Solanum lycopersicum: one gene and its partner. Each later gene encodes a partner of the first gene's protein in a complex. Links are inferred from orthologs where the notes say so. Each region holds a gene or a part of one and is shown in the gene's direction. Other genes may lie near its edges.

Region 1 (3,773 bases):
AATTTGAGGCAAGTGATGAAGAGTTATTAAGAAGTGTGATTGAGTCATTAGAAGTAGAGAATATTGTTCCTAGTGTTAATACAAATGATTCAATTTTGTTTGAGCAAATGAAAGTAGAGAATTCAACTAATTTGTCTTGTGATGATCTTGGTGAACTTGAATATTGTTGGATTGATTCAGACATGGATTCTTCAACTCCTAGTGATGATGATGATATGAATATTTGGTTCAAGGATTGTTACTATGATCAAAATGGAGTTGAAGATTTCACTAACTTTGTTGGTGCATGTAGGGAGTTTTCTTGGGAAGAATCTTGTGAATCTATGCTTTATGCGCCTGATGTCTGATATTCATATTGGAGCTCAACTAATCTGGATTCACATTAGTACTGAGGGATTCATTGTTTCCTCGTAAAGGTGACTTTGTACTTTGAAAGATTCAAATCTGAAATCTCTAATTAAGGATGAAGGAGTACTTATAGATAGTCATTGAGATAGGAGTATTGATTAAGACGTTTTTCATGGCAATTGTAAATCCCATATTAGTATAAATTCTTTTTACTAAAGACCTATGAACTTTCTGTTGCTTTTAATTCAATGTGGAATAAGCATAGCTTACCTAATTTTAGGATGTAAGCTGCAGAACCTATTTTTATGGTACATTTGAAATTATTAGTTCAAAATTTAATTGAGTTTGTTAAGTTTCAACATAAGTGGAACGAGGAGAAATTGATTTCTTTATATACTCTTGAACAATCATATCTCCTCGATTTATCTTTTGAATTGAGTTAAATCTAATATGGTATTGAAGTTACGTCCATCTCACTTCATTATCATTTAATATTAGGTCTCCATTTTATATTGCTTACATTCATGATATCTGACCATGAACGTGCAAAGGAGCGTTGAGTCTTAAATTGATTGATAAGCATAAATAATCTTGAACAATTATTTCCTCTTGAGCTAGCTACGATGTTACAGTTAGATTAGATTCAAGGTTTGTTTTCTTAACCGAATTCAACATACGAGTTGGGCTTAGCGTATCATGGAAAAATTGGAAAGGGAAGGCAATATGTAGCAGGCTGCATCAATAGCGCCTCAAAATAAAAGAAAATGAAGGTTTTGGGCTTATGATGGTGTAGCCCCAACTAACAAAAGACTTGATCAAGAAAATTGTATAACTTTTATATTATATCAAAATTAATAAAAATAAAGAGCACATTTCATAAAAATTTTATTTGTCGCTTACGCTCTAAAAAATTTATTTTTTTTCCTACACAAAAGAAGATTTAATTATGTTCTTAAAGTATTGTAAATTAAATAGACATGCCCTTCAACTCTTCGTCAATAGTTTGGCTTATATATGACCTTATCATTTTGAATGTGTTATTAGTCTAAATGAAACATTTGATTAACCTCATTTGTTGATTCATAAGTGAAAAAATTATCAAATATACTCTGACAACGATAAGCATAGAAAGAATAGAATATTTGTAGACCTTATCACTATCTCGTAAAGCTAGAGAGTCTGTTACGTCGTAAAGTTGAAGAGTTCATTGGCGCAAAAGGATCGGTCCTTCACTTGCTGATCGTTCGCAAGTCGAACTCGCTCTCTTGCCACGCCTTTCACTCACTCGCTTGAGACGGACTCAATCACTCTTTGAGTTTGGAGGATTCACTCTCTTGTTATTACCCGCAGGGAGCGCATGTTTCCGCAAATATGTCCCTAAATTTATCAAATATGTGCTCAATTTCAAATACTTTGAGGGTATATATGACTTTTCCATTTTCACTAAATTTATTTGAACAAAGAATATGAATACATTTTGATATCCTTCTTCCTCATTTGTGGATAACCCAATCCATAGGCTTGCAGTTTGCTCCTTCACTGCAAAAATGGCTACTTCTTCTTCTTTATCTTTCTTTTCTTCCACCATTTTCTTCTCTAACTCCAACACCCTTCACTCCTCAAAGCAGCAGCAGCAGAAACAACTCATTTTCAAACCCAAACAACAACAATTCTCCATCCGTTCAGAGGCCGCCGCCGCCACTATTCCAATTCTGTCCTTTGATGGTACCGAAGTGGGCTCCACCACTCTCAACTTAAAATCCGCCCCTCTTGATACCGCACGCGCCGTCGTTCATCGTGGGCTTACCACTGACCTGCGCAACCAACGTCGCGGTACTGCTTCCACCCTTACCCGAGCCCAAGTACGGGGTGGTGGTATCAAACCATACCCACAAAAGAAAACGGGTCGAGCTCGACGTGGGTCGAACCGAACTCCTTTACGACCAGGTGGTGGGGTTGTGTTTGGGCCGAAACCTAAGGATTGGTCAGTTAAGATTAACAAAAAGGAAAAGAGACTCGCGATTTCTACTGCGCTTTCGAGTGCTACACAGAATGCCATTGTTGTGGAAGAGTTTGATGATAAGTTTGAGAAACCGAAGACTAAGGAGTTCATTGATTTGATGAGAAGATGGGGATTGGACCCAAAAGAGAAATCTTTGTTTTTGATGACGGAAGTTTCAGACAATGTGATTCTCTCCAGCAGAAACATTAGCACATTGAAGATGTTGACACCCAGAACTTTGAATCTTTTCGACATATTGGATTCTGAGAAGCTGGTTTTCACTAAATCAGCTGTGGAGTTCTTGAATGAACGATACGGAAATGATGATGATGATGATGATGACTGGGAGGTGGTGGACGAGGAAGAAGAAGATGGTTAGTTTTTGCTTCATTTTGGGTATGAAGTTTCCTTTCAATTTTAGCTAACTCGTTAATTTGCTGCATTCAGGTGGCGAGGTGGAGGAGAGTGCTGAAAGTTCTGAGTAATATATGAACATGGGGCGAAAAGGGTCTGTTCCATTTTAGAGGAGGCTTTACCTTACAGGGAGCTTAGTATATTTCACTTTGAATTGTATTTTATTGTATGATAAAACTAGGTGATTTTGGTTGATTTCATGTCACTGACTGCATTTGTCCATTACCTTCGTTGGAATAGTTTACTCTTGATTTTCGTTCCGCTCTCATTACCACTTTGAGTTCTTGATTTTTATGATAAGAGTGATTAGTTACTTTACTAATTAAGTCTTGTGTTCTGGCAAAACTACATTAATTGCTTAGTAGATGAAGCTTTATATAAGATTTATGGGTTACAAGTTGTCAGCCAGGCGAGATTCAGCAAAGTAAAATGATTAGGAAAGCTTTGTGTTTGAGTCTTAGGCTTGAAGCAATTAAGCAAAGTTAAGAAAAGGAAACCTTTATTTGGGTGGAAAAAGCTTCATCACCTTTTTCTTTAATACAAACACAAAGTAATTGGCAGGAAAAAATGCTCTTTACTTTGTTTTGAGTCATTGGGGGCATATGGGATGCTAAGCATTATTAACCTTGAAACAGACCATATCTAGTAGACTATCTATGGAGGCAGATAACTTGGACATTTGTACTATCAAAATATGTGATGGAGAGTATATGAGTATCTCTAGGCTTTTACTAGAACTTTTGAGTTTAAGCGCTAATTGCTACTCTGCTTTTAGCCTCAAAATAGAAGGTTTGAGAATGAATCAATGGATTGCACAAACTATCTCATTGATCAATTTTACATATTTCAAAGCCAGGCTGTTTAAAAAGCAAAAGAAGAACAAGAAAAATGAAAAATTTACATTGTGGAGGGCTATGCTACACTGATGTCTGGAGAAAAGAAGTCAATGGTTTGTATAATGGCATTGAACTCATTTACTAGTCAAATATTTAACACGTGACGCTGAAAC
Region 2 (4,286 bases), on another chromosome or scaffold:
ATTTAAATTACAAAATGAGATTAAGAAAAATATTATTATTTCCATTTTTTTTAGTTAAAAGGTTTTCAAAAGAAAAAAAAAACAAGAAAGGAATTCTTTAAAAACAATAATTTTATTAGAAAATAAAAAAAATTATGTTCATTAGAAAAGGTGTATTTTGACATAATAAAATAACAACATAGACATTTTTAGGTTTAAAATATTAGTAGTGGAGACATTTTTAGAATAAATGTTTAATCGTATGGACATTTTAATAAAATTATTAACAGAGTATATTTTTATTTGACGTGACATAGTTTAAAGCTATTTTTAATGCTTCTCAATCAAACAAATAACAAATTATAAAAAAATTAAAGATTAATAAATTAAATTAGTCAACAATAATTATTAATTAAAACTAAGTCAACTAGAATTTAAAAGAAAAAGAAATATAATCTTCAAAATATGAATTATTGAAGCTAAATTCCTTTTTTTTTTTAAAAAAAAAAGTTGTTATCCGGATTCAATCCGGGGTCTAGAAGGGGGATACAATGTACATATATACACCTATACATACATCGCGTTTTGGCCGAAGCTCGTGGATGGCGTGGCACCCCACGAGCTTAAGTAGATCCGCCCCTGTTCCAAATGTGTGAGAGAGGCATGATAAAATATGGATAAAAAATTTGAGAGAAAAAAGTCGATAATAAGATCTCTTTTTTTCTTTTCATCAGTAACAGGATAAAAAAAAGTGGGTTCAATTTGAAAAAAAAAAGGTAACTAAATTATATTATGATACCTTATAGTTAATAAAATATTGACATATTTACATTTATTAATTATTCTTAAGTATAGATCTTATAATAATTATGTTAGGAATTCTGACTAGTTTAATAATTTTCGCATAAAAAATTATATGATCTTATTCTTGCTATCTAAATAAGACAATTTTCGTATCTAAAAGATTCAAATTTGACCTCTGATTAAGGATTTTGCTCCCTAATAAAGATAAATTTATATCCAGAAGACTCGAACTCGACCTCTAATAAATGATGTAGAAGTATTTGTCACTCTTAGGAGGTATCAAATGAGCGAGTTAGGTTGAAACTGAAAATAATAAAATAAATTGAAATAAAATTTGGGTTGAGTTTTAACCAAACCAAGTTTACTTTGAGTTCAAATGAATTGGACTCAAATTTGGAATGGGTCATGGTCCTGTTCAATTTGACCTGCTTAATCTCAATAATTTCAACTTAGTAATATTTAATTTTTATAATTGTAATTTAAATTTCAACTCAAAATTATTATTTTTTTTAAAAAAAGAAACAGTTACAAATTAATAGATAAATCTTTAAAAAAATATAAAATAAATAATAATTTATACTTTCGGTATAGAAACGTCAATGCAAATAAAAAGTTATATAAAAAAATTGAAATTGATGATTAAATTAAATATTTTTTAAAAAATAGATTAAAACTTAAATGAGTTGAAATTAAATTCGATTAAAATTACGTGAGATACCGCTCCTTAATTTATATTTGGGGTCTTATAGTTTTGTGCAACCATCTCCCTCTTTCCCCATCTTGTACCGGATAAGGAAATCCTATAACAGGGCGTTTCCCCTTCCTCTTTCTCTGTCTCAGCGAACCAGTAAGCCATGTCTCTCTCTTCTTTCTCTACAATGCCCACCGCCAAGCTCCGCCTACAAACCCTACCCACTTCCACCACAGTCACACCCTTAACTCTGCACTCTCCATTTCTCCCCTCTTTCAGACTCCCAAAACATAAACCCCTTTCAATTCTCCGCATTTCAACATCTCCAGCTATCTCTGCCTCTCTTGAAGCTGGAGTCGGAATAATGGCAACCAAACTTGGAATGATGAGTTTCTTTGAAGATTCAGGAACAGTGGTGCCTGTTACTGTTGTAGGGTTTCGCGAAGGAAATATTATTACTCAAATTAAAACTGAAGCTACTGATGGATATAGTGCTGTACAAGTTGGGTATCGACGAGTTCGTGATAGAAAACTAACTAAACCTGAAATGGGTCATCTTGAAAAATCTGGGATTATTCCTCTCCGTCATTTGCAGGAGTTTCGTCTTCAGTCTGTTGATGGATTTGAAGTAACGCAGAAACTTGATTTTAATGAATTATTTAAAGAAGGTGATTTGGTTGATGTCGCTGGTACAACCATTGGAAAAGGATTTCAAGGTCTGTTTCTCTACCACTCCAATTATCCTAAAGATTGCTTTTTTCGGGTCGTTATCTAAATTTAGCCTTGTTTATCAAAGATTTGAGCTCATTTTCGATTGTTTTTAAGTATTTGGGTAAAGTTATAAAGTGCTTATAAACACTTATTTTTAAGTCAAAAATAAGCTAAAGCCATAGGTTAGAAATGGTATAACAAGGCTTTTGGTTTTTATAAAAATCCCATGCCAAACGCCAATCCAAACAGGTCCGAAGATTTCATCCCAATTTCATGAATGAAGTGTACAATTGACCTTGATTTTATGTGTTGTGATTAGTTTTTTCTTATCATCAGTGAGCTATGAATATATTGTCTTTCATATGTGAACTGTGAAATAGAGAACTCGTATTGTTAATGAATCTAGTTCAAATGGATATTCTAAATTCATATAGCTAGCTTGGGATGGAGCGCGGTTGTTGTTTAAAAGAGAACTGGCCTGTGATTTTAGTAGCGTGATACATCTGAAATATCAAGTCTTTGGTTTTGCATTACTGCACTTTGTTATGCTATTGCAATTCATTTATCCTTAAACCAGAATGTATTTGTTTGTATAATTATGATACAATGTATCACTATAGATGTAAATATGATATTTTACTTATTTGTAAGAGTACTTGAAATGCCTGTTACATGAGCTACATTAACTTTTTGGCCAAATGGTTTGTATTAATGCTTCTATTGATTTTCCTCAATAACCGCAACTTTTGTTTGTAAATACTGCAATTCCAACTGAAAATGACATTGTAATTGAACATCGTGGTAGCTCCTCTCTTCGTGTGGCATGGCTTCAGCACCTAAATAAGCTTCATTAATGGATATCTTGATATTCTGGTTAACATGACTTGCTATCATAGTGTTTAATTATGCTGGTTGATTCCACAGTGTACATTTTCAGATGTTTAAATGTGGAAGTAGGGTTTATCAACTTTTCACGTCTTAAAAGTTTATCATAACCTGAATAGTTGTTTGAAGTATCATACAGACGAGACTTCCATACAGGTGCATGTATCGACATATTGTAACTATTAAGTCAAGGTACAGGTAGTTCTTTGGTTCTCTATTGGTGGCGGTCTTGACTCTAGATATATCATTCACTTACTAGAGAAGTAATTTTTTATCTCAAATTTGATTGTCTTTACAGAAAGCAAGTTCTATCTATCATATCTTGTTTTTCGCTCTCTCATTGTTGACACTGGTGGAATTGGCTTGCAGGTGGTATCAAGAGGCATAATTTCAAGAGGGGTCAAATGACTCACGGATCAAAGAGTCATAGACAACTAGGATCAATTGGTGCTGGGACAACCCCAGGGCGTGTATACAAGGGCAAGAAGATGCCTGGACGAATGGGAGGCACCAGGACAAAGATTAGAAAGCTCAAGATCGTCAAGATTGATGATGAACTTAAGATTCTAATGATCAAAGGAGCTCTTCCTGGTAAGCCTGGAAATCTTTTGCGAATAGCTCCGGCCAAGATAGTTGGCAAAAACATCCCCAAGAACTAATTTTTGTTCCCTCTTCTTTTATCAACTCTATGAAGTGATGAAATTTTTTCTTTCAAATTATGATATTGTGTTTCAACCAATCTCTACCTTCAAGTTTTATTTGTCAGATTTCTTAGCTAAAAAACTTTACATTATCAGAAGTCTATGAAAATATCTAGTTTTGTGTCCTCCCTCTCATAACCATAAAAACACATATTCTATTCACGAATCAAAATATCAATCTGTTCAAAACCATTTATCGTATGAGACAAATTATTGATGAAAATTCACAACATATCAATTTGTAAAATAGTGTTTTTTTCATGTACTATAAACTTTAAAGTTCACCATCTCGTCTAAAGTTTGGCATTTAAAACGATTGTAGTTTAATTGGTGTTTTATTATTAGGGAATTGTATGATTTTGGCGCAAAAATATTTATTTTATAGATGACTATACTATAGTGCAAGTCATTATAATTACAAAAGAGAAAGGTAACAGCAACATTACACCACATTGAACACCAATTTATTTTTACATAAGAATTGATAATAACACCAACTCAACAAATCTACACCA

The links.
Region 2: large ribosomal subunit protein uL4c (region 1) and large ribosomal subunit protein uL3c share a complex: the UniProt entries of both Arabidopsis thaliana proteins name them as parts of the 50S ribosomal subunit. The link is inferred for Solanum lycopersicum from reciprocal best matches to the Arabidopsis thaliana genes RPL4 and AT2G43030.

What each region holds. Positions count from the first base shown.
Region 1 is NC_090806.1:67,227,743-67,231,515, forward strand, and holds large ribosomal subunit protein uL4c, read left to right. Parts: upstream 1-1,404; 5' UTR 1,405-1,895; coding exon 1,896-2,724; intron 2,725-2,797; coding exon 2,798-2,835; 3' UTR 2,836-3,024; downstream 3,025-3,773. UniProt on the Arabidopsis thaliana protein: This protein binds directly and specifically to 23S rRNA. May play a role in plastid transcriptional regulation.
Region 2 is NC_090805.1:36,930,164-36,934,449, forward strand, and holds large ribosomal subunit protein uL3c, read left to right. Parts: upstream 1-1,429; 5' UTR 1,430-1,637; coding exon 1,638-2,190; intron 2,191-3,439; coding exon 3,440-3,729; 3' UTR 3,730-3,809; downstream 3,810-4,286. UniProt on the Arabidopsis thaliana protein: One of the primary rRNA binding proteins, it binds directly near the 3'-end of the 23S rRNA, where it nucleates assembly of the 50S subunit.